3 linked regions of the Ovis aries genome follow. The protein of the gene in region 3 interacts with the protein of the main gene of each other region in a biochemical or structural test. Links are inferred from orthologs where the notes say so. Each region holds a gene or a part of one and is shown on either strand. Other genes may lie near its edges.

Region 1 (3,836 bases), on a different chromosome or scaffold from region 3:
CAGAGCTGCAACTCCAGTCTTGGACCAAGGATTCTGAGAGAGCAAGGCTATGATGATGCCGTCTCATTCCAGAGACTTCCTGGGGGCAGAACTATAACTCCTCCCTCACGCCAGGGATCCCGAGAGCCGGGTCAGCACCCCAGCCAGCGCCAGGACCTCACCTTGAAGAGGCGGAAGGCGGCTAACCAGCAGGAGCGGCTCTGCTCATCCTCAGTGCAGAAGAGGTGAAGCCCCTTGTGGCCATTTCGAAGCTTATTTGGCTGCGGGGAGAGGAAACTGCCTGGTCCCACATCTGCCTTTAGAACCAGATGTTGTCTCCTTTCTCCATGGGGCAGGGCAGGGTGCAAGGAGAGGAGTCTGGGGGTCCCAGAAGCAGCTCAGAAGCCCCAGGTAGGATCCTCACCTTGATACAGAAGCCAAAGTCTGTGGGCATCCCGTAGAGCTTGCGGCCCTGGGTCACCACATACACATTGGACTCGTTCACATCTGCTACGTACTGCAGGTGCCTCGGATCCTGTGCAGCACGAGTGAGCAAGACTGTACAGGCAGACCCTATCCCCCTCTCAGCATCCCCCCTCAACCAGCTGGGGACAGTTCAGGCCCAGAGAGGAGCAGAGAAGTGCCCCGGGTCACACAGCACATAGAAGCAGAGCCAGGACTTGAACTCAGTTCACCTGGCTCTCCCATTGCTACCTTCCAGGGCAGGTGAGCTGGGAGGGGAAGAGGGGTAGCTGAGGGTCTCAGGGCCTAGAGGGTGAAAGGTCTAGGAGTTCCCGCAGAGAAGGGGCAGCTCCTAGAAGCACCAGGGATGGGGTCTCCGAGGGGCCGGGGCTGTCACCTTTAAGACCTCACCTTGGAAGTGCCCTTGGTGGAGTAATACAGGCCAGAGCGGCGCAGGAAGCAAAAAAAACGTTTCCAAAGCTTGCGCCCTGACCCCCGGAGCTGCAGGAAGCCCTGGATCTCTGGGAAGCTGCCTGCATTCAGGAAGTTCTGAGGATAGGAGAGCAGGGTGAGAGGCCTCGAGGTGGCCACACACACACACACACACACACAGAGGCCTTCCTAGCACCTGCCTCAGTGGCAGGGGTTTACATTTACTGTCATTTAACAGAGGAAGAAACTGATGCTTAGGGCGGTGCTGGGCTTTCCACCCCATAGAGGGATGGCATGGACTTCAGGGCTAAGAAGCCCTGGGCGATCCTGGGGAGTCAAGGCCATGAAATGGGAGTGGGCCCTCACCTGGATGATGTCCTCATGGGACATGCCCGTGTGTGCATCCAGACAGCTAGAGACCATCTTTTCTGGGAAGAGGGAGTGCTGGGGGCAAAAGGAGCCAGGAGTCAGGACTGAGGATCCGGGTGGGGGTTGGGGTGTCCGGGCCCAGACCCCCCTGTTACGCACACTCACTGGAGTGCTCTTGAACAGCTCGTATTTGGCAAAGTTCTTCCGGAAGACGATGCGGCTGTCTCCACCAATGGGCCAGGCAGCCTGCACTTCTGCCACTGACTCATGATCCTCCAAGGCCCGCTCTGGGGTCAAGGGCAAAAAGCAGGGGTCAGTGGAGGCCAGTCAGGTGTGAAGCACTGCCTCCCAGGCTAGGCAGTCCCCTGCGGCCCAACTTACCCAGTGCTAGGTAGGGGTGGCACTCCACCAGCCCCCAGTTCTCGTCACTCAGGGAGTGAGATCGCTGCACCAGCATCTCGCACACATAGCGAGCCGTGGCCCCTGCCGCCACCTCCACCGAGCGGCAGGTCCCATCTTCGCTGTACACCTTTATGACCTGCACCCGAGGAATGGCCGGTGAGGCGGGCAAGGGCAAAGGGTGGTTCTCTCCCATCCCCCTCTGCTCTACCCTCTGGGATCCTTGACCAAGTCCCCTCCACCCAGCCAAGGCGGCACTATATCTGCCCCATCCCCCAGCACCCCATGCTCCCTGCCTTCTCTTTCCCAGGGAAACTCACATGGGGGCAGCTCGTGTCTCGAGGGAGCAGCCCCCTTGCACTGGAGGACCCCCCAAGAATGGGGCTCTGTGAAGAAGGACTGCAGAGCTCGGGGAAGGGGTTGGGGATGGAGGGCAGAGAGGTTGACTGTAGCTCCTCCTCTCGAAGAAGTTTCCTGGGGCGGGAGATGGAGGGGAGGAGTTGCTAGTAAGCTTCTGTGCATTACCCTAGTGCTGACTGCTCCCCCCAGCTCCCCCCAGCCTCCCTCTGTCAGCCGACACCCCACTTTACCTGCTGGTTGGAATGGGCAGAGGCTGGGACCTCTTCACCTCCCCAGACAGAGGGGCATTGAGAGGTGGGGGAGTCCCAGGAGGGGTCCCAGAGGCCAGGTACAGGTCTTCTGGGGAGCTGCTGAGATGAAGTGGAGACAGACCCAGCTCCATGACCTCTGAGGGAGAAGAGGAACAGCTGCTCTTGTGCCCTTGTCCTGGGGAGAGGGGCCAAGGGGACCCAGACCTCCTTCACCCTTCTGTCAGGCGCCCCTCAGAGTTTATCTGGCCCCTCCTCGATCCGCAACTAACTGGAGTTCCCTGGAGCCTCTGGGGAAGGGCAGCGTTGAGTCCCTGTTACAAAAAGGGACTCTGAGCCCTGAAAAAGAAGCACTCCTGCCTCATCACAGGTGAGACAGGGAGCAGAGCTCAGCGTTTGGACTCCCAGTCCAGCGCTCTTCCTTACCCCAGGTTGCCCAGGGGAAGAGCGGTGAGGGTCCCCTCACCACAGGCCAGGCAGCAGCGACGGACTCCCTGACCCCCACACAGCGGGGCTCAGTGGCACCCTTGCACTTCCCAGTGTGGGGCACTCACTCCTCTGGGCTCTGCCCCAGGTTTTCCCAGCGCTTTGTTGCCAGAGCCTGTTGTGGCAACGCCTGCTCAAGCGCTGAGTGATGCACAGAAGGAGAGAAGGAGGTGGGGAAGGACAGGAACCAGGAGGACAGGAGGCGAGCTCAGTTGCAGTGGGAAGAAGGCGAGTCTGGGGCCTGCGCCCCAGCGGCCCCCAAACCTTGTGTGCCTTCGTTAGACCCCTCCCCCTCCCCAACTTTCTTGAGGCCTCAACGCCAGAGCCACCTCCTCTGAGAAGCCTTCCAGGATTTTCCACATTCAGACTGAAGGGCTCCCTCTGGGCCCTGTGCTGGGGCCTCCGCACCTGTCTTATCCACCCACTGGTCTGAAGATGCCCAGCCATCCCAGGCAAGGCCAGGGTCTTACCCATGTTTTATTGCCCACAGGCACTACACGGCATCCAGGACAAGGATAGAAGAGATGGGGCAAGGATGGCCACCAGCAGGTGGAGGCATCGCAAGCCCCTCCTTCCCAGGAACCAAGACCCTTTAGGCTGGGCTGAGACCTGGGAGGACCTGGGAGGACCTACAGTTCTGTCCCCTGCCTGTGCTCCAAATACTGGGCCAGCGCTGTTAGCTTGCCTAAGGCACCCAAGATCTGCCCCCCTTCCCCGCACCTGGGATGAGACAGGTCCCCAACCTTTAAGTGAGGACAAGAGGAGATTTGGGGGACAGGTGAGTCAGGGTGGGGCGGGACACACTGCCTGGAGCTCTCCATTCACCCTTGACTCATCTCCACTACTTCCTGGCTTAGGAGAAACACAAACAACCCTGCCTCTACCCATCCCCTCCACTCCCCCCCCCACCACAAGAACAGGATTGGGGAGGAGGAAGATGTGGGGGGGGGGGGGGAGGCTGAGGCTCCTCTGACATCATCTCCTCCTCCCCACCTTTGGCCTACCTCCAGTCCAGGTCCAGGTGCAACCTGCAAAGGGCCCCAGGTAGCCACCACCCAGCCCAGGAGCCCCCTCACCCAGGCGGGAGAGAAGAAAAGCCTG
Region 2 (4,702 bases), on a different chromosome or scaffold from region 3:
AAGGTGCCCACAGAATTCATAGCTGTGACAAACAGACTGAAAACATTGTTTTGATTTGCGAAACATCTCTTGCATTTGTCACGCTTAAGGTGGTTCTCCTGCCTCAAGTTTTGGTAACTCTTTAGTGGACTATAATGTATCTTTGGCCTTAATCACCTTCAGCAAAATGGCAGGTCAGGGAAAACAGTTTGAGAAGAAGTAGGTAAAAGGAAAAGACCTTAATGCTGAGAAAGATTGAGGGCAGGAGGAGAAGGGAGTGACAAAGGAGGAGATGGTGAGATAGCATCACCTATTCAATGGACATGAGTTTGAGCAAACTCTGGGAGGTAGTGAAGGACAGGGAAACCTGGTGTGCTGCGGTCTGTGGGGTCGCAGATAGCCAGACACAAGTGAGCAGCTGAACAACAGCACCAGCAGTCGACAGCAGCAGGTAGTGAGCTGTGCAGTGAGGCAGCTGCTGTTCTAAGTGCCTTTCATACGTTACCTCATTTATCTCTACAGTAACCCTATATGATAAGTAGGGTATTGTTTCCTCCTTCTATATGAGGAGAAAGGAGAGGCTCAGAAGCTTCTGAAGCCATATAGTAAGTGGGAGAGCCAGGATTCAGACCCAGGAGATCAATTTATTATATTGGTTTTGTAGAATTTGACAGGCCTCTGTGTGTTTGTGTGCTCACCAGCTTCAGTCATGTCTGACTCTTTGTGATCCCATGGACTGTAGCCTGCTAGGCTCCTCTTATCCATGGAATTTCCCAGGCAAGAATATTGGAGTGGGTTGCCGGTTCCTTCTCCAGGGGATCTTTTCGACCCAGGGATTGAACCTGGGTCTCCTGCATTGACATGCAGGTTCTTTATCACTGAGCCACCTGGGATATGCATGTGTTACCCATTCAAAATAAATCATCAAAACTTTCCCCCTCAAAGAAGGAAAGTGTGAGAGTCACACGCCTGTGACTTTTTCGTTTCAGCTCAGAGACCCAAGTAAAGCCCCTGTGTCTTCTCCCCTAGGTGCTAAGTTCCCCATTAAGTGGACAGCTCCAGAGGCAATCAACTTCGGATGTTTCACCATCAAGTCTGATGTGTGGTCCTTTGGGATTCTCCTGTACGAAATTGTCACCTATGGGAAAATTCCCTACCCAGGTACTGCTTACTTACCTATTTCCATTTGCGGGATATATATGAGAAAAAAGCCAGGTGGTATGAGACATAAAAAAGATGAACAAATATCCAGAGGAAAGACAAGGGTGTGAGAACTTTGTCTTTAGTGGAAGGTATTGTAAAATATGCTTAGACACTTCTCCGCCTTCGTGTCTGAGTGCATGTCTTTCGATCCACTAATGAATTCCACCACCAACAGCCTTGAATGTGCCTGGCGCGGTCACAGATATTGCTGAAGCAACATGGTTGGAGGACTAGACACGGGGCTCCTCCCAAGCCTCGCGCCGGATGGTGGAGGAAACGGACATAGAAATGATGCTGTATGATTCTTGCTTGGTCAGTTCTGAAACAGAGATTTGTATAATGTACTTTGGAGTCTCTGCCACTTCAAGAGACAACCACCTCTGTCTGCAAACAAATGATTCTTCACATCCTCAACTTACTGGCTGTGGGGACGTCATTCAGTATTTCCAGATGCCTAGCATCTTCCCAGCCAGATTCTGCCAGCCGTCCCTTTTCCAGAACATGGAAGCAGAGGGACTTTTCCCCAAAGCCTTCTCTTTCTTGTTAATGTTGGGCTTTTCACAAAATCAATGGATATGGCCAGTTTAAAAGTAAACCTTTAATGTTTAAATCATTCCCTCATTCAAAAATCTGAGGGTGCTAAGCATTCCCAAGGTGCTGGATGGAGCAGTCCCAGCTCCTCCCTTGAGAGCTAATGGTTGAGTATTAATTACAATCATTTGTAATAATCACTGATAATAAGGACCGTATGTAGGATGGGAAGTATGCTGTTGGGGGAGGGTGTGATGGTTTAGGGATTGGGGTGAGGGGGTGGGGTGCAGGTTCTAAAAGCGATCCAGTAGCAGCAGGGACTCAGTGCCTTGGCAGAGAGCCCCAGGGGCTGTCCGGGGCTGGGTGTCCCATGGGGGAAACAGCCAGAGCACCGGTCCCGAGCAGGGGCAGGAGGTGTGGGGATGACGTGGAGCGGATGTGAGCCTCAGAGGCTGCCCAGGGGCTTCACCTCTGACTTTGCAAGAGATGGGAGACTTTGGGGCGGAGCAGTGATGTGGCCTCTAGGCTCCTAGTCACCTTTGCTGCTGTTGGGCCTAGAGGGCTGGCGGGAGGGGGAAGCCTTTGGGTGGGGCCTACACAGTGGGCTGACGGTCCCGTGAAACCCTCCGGTGCCAGATTTCATATTCTGGTGGCTGCTCTGCTCTAGACACCGAAGTTAATGAATAAAACCACCGCAAAATGGGGACGGTATTTCTGAATCAGCCCAGATATCTATCTATAATCTGCAACCTATAGAGAAAGATTATATACTTTGCCTATATATGACACCTGATCAATAAACATACAACCTTACAAGTGTTGTGTGGTAGGTATTGCATGCTCCACAGTGATCTGTGGACAAGGCTCTGGGGCTCAGAGAAGGAGATTTTGGCCCAGAGCCGCATCACTGCCTCCTATGGAATCCTGGCCACCTTGCCCTCACCCACTGGACTTATCACCATCATTCATTTCCAGAACGTCTTCATCTTCCCAAATTGATACTGTACCCATTAGACCCTAACTCCCCGACCCACCTACCCACCTCCAGCCCCTGCTGTTGTTGTTGTTGCTTATTCATTCAGTCGTGTCCAACTCTTTGCGACCCCATGGACGGTAGCCCGCCAGGCTCCTCTGTCCGTGGGTACTCCAGGCAAAAATACCGGAGTGGGTTGCCATCCCCTTCTCCAGGGGATCTTCCCAACCAAGGCATCAAACCCAGGTCTCCTGTACTGCAGGCGGATTCTTTACCACTGAGCCACCAGGGAAGGCTGCTAAAATGGCTGAATTAGCATGTTTTATTATCCCATTTTAATGATGGAGAAAAATACTATTAAAATGACCTTTTTTTTCCCCTTAAAGCTCTTCTCAGTGTCAAAGACGGACAGTTCAGTGTCTGAGCTAACCTGAGACAAGTGATTAGAGTAAAAGCCATCCTCCACAGTCAGCAATCCTGCAGAGCCCGGCAGGAATAGTGGGTGCCCTGGGCTTCCAGGTGGAGCTAGTTATAAAGAATTCATCTGCCAGTGCAGGAGATGTTTAAGAGACACAGGATGGATCCCTAAGTCAGAAAGATCCCATGGAGAAGGAAATGGCAACCCACTCCAGTATTCTGGAGAATCCCATGGACAGAGGAGCCTGGTGGGCTACAGTCCATGGAGTCTCAAAGAGTCGGACACAACTGAAGTGACGTAGCACGCAGGCACGCTGGTTCCCTCCCCAGAGCCTGCCGAGCTCTGCCTCTTCTTGTCCTGAGGACAATTTGAGGAGTGGAAATGAAACAGTTGGTCTAGCTCACTTAAGGATCCTGACTTCTTTAAGTAAACTTGCAATGAAAAGCTGATTTTGAAAAAGTATTGGGAGATAATAGGTGAGAAAATGATGGTTTTTTTTTTTTTTAATTAATTACCATTAGAAGCTGGGGGAAAAAAATAGTGCAAAAGACAGTGAGATGAAATGTTAGAATTGGGCTTGTTTATTCACAAGATCTGTCAGGTCCAACATCCTTTTGTCGTTAAAGAGAACTCGCTCTGTCTCTGCTTATCACGTTCACTGGTTTTTACTTTGGCAGCTGAATGCTGCCTAGAGCCTCTTCGTACTGCCCTCCTTTATAGGATTACGTTGCTTACAGAAATGTCCTTAGCCCCTCTACTAGTTTTGAGAGCTGCTGTAACAAAATACCACAAACTGAATCGCTTATACAACAGAAATGTGTTTTCTCGCAGTTCTTCAGGGTAGGGGTCCAAGATCAAGGTGTTGACGGGATTGCTTTCTCCAAGGCTCATCCTCGGCCCTTGAGACAACATCTCCATCTGTCTTCTCTCTGGCATCCCCGTGTTCTAATCACCTCTTCTTATAAAGATACCAGTCAAATGGGGCTTAGGCCCACCCTAAAGGCTTGGTCACCTCTTTACAGGCCTTATGTCTAAACGCAGTTCCATTCTGAGGTCCTGGGGGCTAGGTCTTCAGTATAGGAATTTCCAGGAGAGCGGGGACTGTGGGAACACAGTTCAGCCCACAGCATCCTCCGACACTCGCTCCAACCAGGGATGAAGGAGGTGGGTACCACTGCATCACGTGACCCTCGGTCAGGCTTCTAAACAGTACCTGTGGGTTTTTCACCTCCAGGGAGAACTAACGCAGACGTGATGACCGCCCTGTCGCAGGGCTACAGGATGCCCCGCATGGAGAACTGCCCGGATGAGCTCTATGACATCATGAAGATGTGCTGGAAGGAAAAGGCAGAGGAGAGGCCGACGTTCGACTACCTACAGAGCGTGCTGGACGACTTCTACACGGCCACCGAGGGCCAGTACCAGCAGCAGCCTTAGTGCCGAGGACTCAAGCCGTGCACGGGACCGCCGCCTCCCTCCAAAGGGAAAAACAACAATCCCCGGTCACTAGTTATTTCCTGGGCTGGCTTCCCCGGCTGTCCTTGCTTCCTTCACACAGGGCTAAAACTCAGGAAGGACTTCTTCCATGGGAAAGGAGT
Region 3 (4,702 bases):
AACTCACTAATGGGACTCAGGTGTGTTTTGTTCACTAGACCCATGTCCAGCATATAGTTGGCATTCCATAAACATTTTCTCAGCGAATGTCTACAACTACTGGGGCTGTGTCCCCTGCGGGCAAGCTTTCCAGGGGTCTTGAACCTCCCTACTTCTCCCCCAAAGAAAACACTCAACTAAAACCCAGCTGAGAACAAGTCTTACATAACCTCTCCAACTTGCTGTTTATTTTTTTAAAAAAGAGCTGTTCTGTGAAAAATGAAATTTCTATTATTACTGTAACTACTCAATTGTGATGTTACACTGGGCTTTAAAGCCTGAGCGTAAAATAGCATTTGATGGATAAAAACAGTGAAGCTGACCCCATTTTCATCTTCAGGTAATGCGAAAGGACAATTTAAGGCTTAAGTGTGGATTGTGAAAGAGAGGAAGTACAATTCCAGATGCGCTCTGCTCAGGGGCTGGGCACCTCATCAAGGAGAAAACCTTTTTAAGACATGTAGCTCCCCAGCGCCATATGTATGGTAATTGTGCGATCATTACTTTTTTGGTAACTTGGCAATTAACTTCTGAGGTAATTTTTTTCATAATAACTACAGTCACATTTCCCACACATATTACCTCCTGTGTATATATTGGAAATCTAATTACTCTGTCCTGGGAAATTGCTTTATCTACCTGCAGGCTGGAAATTGCATGATAAATCCAAAAGATAACCACCAAAATAAAGATGTCGTTCAGTAATCATGTTTCAACAAACAAAATTAATGTCTACCAAGAAAAATATAGCAATTATGCTCTCTAAAAAGCCACATGGATAGAAAAAAATTAATCAAAACAAAGTTTTAAAAAAATAATAATACTTTGAAAACATATTTGAAATTCAACTGAATTGCAGTCTTCCTGATGAGTGTTAAGTGGTATCCAAAATAATCATCTCACCTCTGCTCGGTTCCTGGACAAAAGTACCAATCAATGGTTGGCTCTGGGAACCCTGCGGCCACGCACTGTAGCATGCCATTCACCAGCCTGTCATGCGTCAGAATTTCTGGTTTTGCTGGAGGAAGAGAGAAGCGGCCATATGTCAGACTGCTAGAAAACCTCACCAAGGCTCCCTCCACAATTTCTGAATTTTTAAAAACTTTCTCAAGGATGAAAGGGACCCTAAGGGAACATGTTGCTCAAAGGGGAGAATGTGAACCAGTGAATGGAAGGTACAGGTAGAAGGATGTGAAGGTCTGACCACGAAAAAGGCTTTCCTGGTTAAAGCTACCCAGCCCCCGTGTGGACTGTTCATCCTGTGGATGTGGGGGTCTCTGAGCTCTCCCTGCCTCAGGGATGACTGAGGTTGCAGGACCACCTGGCAAGGTTTCTGTTCCCAGGGATGGGGAACCTGGAAGATGGGTTCTAATCAGGATTCTAGGGTTCCCAACTGTCTAACAGGTGAAAATGCTGAAGCTCCAATACTCTTGGCCACCTGAGGCAAAAAGCTGACTCATTCGAATATACCCTGATGCTGGGAAAGATTGAGGGCAGGAGGAGAAGAGGGTGGCAGAGAATGAGATGGAATGGATGGCATCACCGACTCAATGAACATGAACTTGGGCAAACCCCAGGAGATAGTGAGGGACAGGGAAGCCTGGTGTGCATGAGGTTGCAAAGAGTCAGATGTGACTTAACAACACTGTTTATTAAAGTATTCCTGCCATCAGAATCTCATTGGAATTTCAAGTTATTGCAAGAACTAGAAGAAATTAGGAGGAGTTACAGGAAGAGATAAGATCCGCCCCCTCTCGAAAATTTCCCTCCTCCTTTTTTTGATGGGGGTGTGGAAGGGATGGTGCAGACGAGCAGCTGAATCACCCCTTTATAGAGAAGCCAAAACATCAGAGTAAAACACAATATGGGCTTTTAACTCCAAACTTTTATTTCAAATGCAAAATAGGAATAGAAAATTAGAAGAGGAAACCAGCCCAAGAGTTTTACTCATACATATGTCTAAACCTGAGTACAATCACTGAAAAAGTAAACTGTATCAGCAGGAATGCCCTAATTTGACATTTCTGTGTAACTATAATAATCAACTGATATTCAATCAAAGGTACCCTGCAAATTCTTGAGATTAGTGAACGGGAAAAGAACTTACATTCAGCTGTTCTACTGGTAATACACTTGAAGGATGTGAACCCTCTAAGAATGAGTAAACTATACTGGAAGCATCTGACGGCAGGGACAGTGATGAGTTCATCCTGCATCCCTGGCACAGCATCGCGGGTGCCGCCCCCAAGCCTGTGCACAGAGCTGTGGGTGGCCCTGTGTGTGGTGGACAGAACTGTACCCAAGCTCTGGCTTTTGGTGGCTCTCTGCTGTCCACCAAGTCTCCGGGTATCCAATGGGAATAACAACAGTAACAACAGGAATTCTTCATAGTGATGTTGTGACAATGAAGTGAAATGATTCTTGACAAAGAATCAAGAATGATTCACAGAAATCAAACAGTAAAAGCATTAATTAATGGGACTTCCCTGGTGCTTCAGTGACTAAGAGCCTATGTCCCAGTGCAGGGGGCCTGGGTTCGATCTTTGGTCAGGGATCTAGATCCCACATGCTGCAACTGAAGATCCCACATGCCTTGACTTAAGACCCAGAATAGCCAGTAAATAAATTTTCAAAAAAATTTTAAGTATTAATTACTACTTTATTACTACTCATTTATTATTTTTTCTCCTTAGAGTACCCACCCTCCTAGGTTAATCAAGTTTGGTACCAATTAAGTTAACTGTATTGGTCACTCTACATATTCTTTTCAATATATAAAGATATTAGATATTGAAGAGAAACTGCTTAACACAGCATGATAACATGTATGTGTTTTAACCCAAAGAACTGGGAATTTGACATTGATTACATTGCAACTGATAGGAAAAATAAATATATTTGGTCAGAGGAAAAGGCCAACAGGTCAGAAACTAATTTCTTCGAAGGAAGGTAATGCTGATAAATGACATCTTTGTAGAACAACCTCTCAGCACCTCATCTCCTTGCAGGCAAAATGGCTTGGCAGGGATCAAAGTGTCTGCATGCATGGCACACCCACCTGTCATTCAACCTGGCCCTGCTGATGGGCAGGCCATTTGGCTAATACACACAAAAGAGCAACACTCCAAAAGCAATCTCAAGGTAGGGGCATCCTTGAGAGTTTGGATCCAACGCCAGCTTTCACAAATAGAGCAAGAAGACAAGCCATCGTCTTGCAAAAGCGTCCATCTGGCAAGTTTCATTTAATTATCATGGGCAACTGTGTGACCAGGCTGAAAAGTAGGACATAACACAGAAAATAGTGGAACTTGAGGAGAATGCTATTTGCTGAAGACGGCAGGCGCCATACGGCAGGTCTCTCTGGACTGAATTCAAGTGTCATCTCCTTTTCCTAGCCATCCTCAACTCTCCAAAGCCAAGTTGGTTGGTCTCGCTTCCCTACTCCCGAAGCACTTTAGAGCACCTGACGCACTTCTATAATATCCTGGTCTGCCTCCATCCGACTGTTCTCAAGGGCAAGGACCATGTCTTACGGACTGTACTTCTGACTTCTAGCAGAGTCTGACCTGTGGCAGACACACAGTAAGAGCTGTTAATTATTAAGTCCTCCCAAAGAAACAAGTCCTTCAAATTCCAAAGGAATTCAGTGTCACAAGAAGGGACCTGGAATATCAGCCTATGGTGACTTTCCTGTTACATCATTTTTGCAATAGTGGGCCACGAGATAAGAAATCGGCACATAAACCTGGCCATGTGGATTTTTTCTTCCATACTGAGATTAACGATGAGAGAAGGTCCACACACAGATAGCAAAGATAACTGGATAGAATCCAACTGGACAGAATTCAAATGGGAATCAAGTTCATAAGACAGATTTCCTCATAACAACCTTCCTCTTGTCATTCATTGTTCCTGGATTTTTAGTGGAATTAACTATTACTCAGTAGGAAAAAAAAAGAGGGGGCTGAAAGGGTGCATTATATTTATAGTTGTTGTATCTGGGTAGTAGAGTTATACATCAATATCTGTTTCATTCTTTTGACTTATTTTCTAATTTTTTTTTACAATGAACACAGCTAATAATAAACTTATAAAACACTGGAACAGTTGAAAATTACATAATCAATTACATTTAGCTTTGGTTACAAGTGCCCTAAGATCCAAGCCTTCCAGCACGACACCTGGTAGCAGCTATACAATGGCCAGGGCTGGCAAACAGTGTGGTCTGGCTGGCCTACTTGTTCCTGTGTGCTGGTTAATCAGGCACATTTTTAAGCTACTATCCCAACTATAACCTGAGGCAAGCCAAGCAGCTTTTGTCCTGTTGGCTTGTAGGCTGGCCAACCAAGCTCAGAGGGCCCCTCAAACTTCAAGGTGCATTTGAAGCACAGAGAGATGAGGTTAAAAAGCACATTCCTGGCCCACCTCATCTCCCCCAAGATTAAGTAATTTGAGAATCTGACCCAGAATGGGGTTATTTTAGAAAATCTTCAAGGGACCCCATCAGGGCCAGGACAAGGATGTGGCAAGAAAAACAGCTAAGGTGAGGAATTTAAGAAGGCTCTCATCCTCCAGGTCCTGCAGATTCAGGTAGACACCAAGAGTGAGCACCTCCTTAAATTCTGCACCCTAGGCATCTCTCTTGCCTCATCCTAATTCCAGC

What was found. The genes of interacting proteins can lie anywhere in the genome.
Region 1: the proteins of KIT (region 3) and GRB7 form a complex in vitro, tested with the Homo sapiens proteins (3 studies listed by BioGRID and IntAct, with this or other methods). The link is inferred for Ovis aries from reciprocal best matches to the Homo sapiens genes KIT and GRB7.
Region 2: the proteins of KIT (region 3) and LYN form a complex in vitro, tested with the Homo sapiens proteins (2 studies listed by BioGRID and IntAct, with this or other methods). The link is inferred for Ovis aries from reciprocal best matches to the Homo sapiens genes KIT and LYN.

Annotation. Positions count from the first base shown.
Region 1 is NC_056064.1:39,850,755-39,854,590, reverse strand, and holds part of GRB7 (growth factor receptor-bound protein 7), read right to left. Parts: exon of another isoform or gene 2,676-3,836; intron 2,389-2,675; 5' UTR 2,384-2,388; coding exon 2,232-2,383; intron 2,116-2,231; coding exon 1,962-2,115; intron 1,781-1,961; coding exon 1,624-1,780; intron 1,530-1,623; coding exon 1,402-1,529; intron 1,318-1,401; coding exon 1,240-1,317; intron 991-1,239; coding exon 853-990; intron 515-852; coding exon 404-514; intron 261-403; coding exon 162-260; intron 1-161. UniProt on the Homo sapiens protein: Adapter protein that interacts with the cytoplasmic domain of numerous receptor kinases and modulates down-stream signaling. Promotes activation of down-stream protein kinases, including STAT3, AKT1, MAPK1 and/or MAPK3. Promotes activation of HRAS.
Region 2 is NC_056062.1:36,228,438-36,233,139, forward strand, and holds the end of LYN (tyrosine-protein kinase Lyn), read left to right. Parts: intron 1-1,008; coding exon 1,009-1,140; intron 1,141-4,338; coding exon 4,339-4,541; downstream 4,542-4,702. UniProt on the Homo sapiens protein: Non-receptor tyrosine-protein kinase that transmits signals from cell surface receptors and plays an important role in the regulation of innate and adaptive immune responses, hematopoiesis, responses to growth factors and cytokines, integrin signaling, but also responses to DNA damage and genotoxic agents.
Region 3 is NC_056059.1:70,927,788-70,932,489, reverse strand, and holds part of KIT (mast/stem cell growth factor receptor Kit), read right to left. Parts: intron 1,058-4,702; coding exon 943-1,057; intron 1-942. UniProt on the Homo sapiens protein: Tyrosine-protein kinase that acts as a cell-surface receptor for the cytokine KITLG/SCF and plays an essential role in the regulation of cell survival and proliferation, hematopoiesis, stem cell maintenance, gametogenesis, mast cell development, migration and function, and in melanogenesis.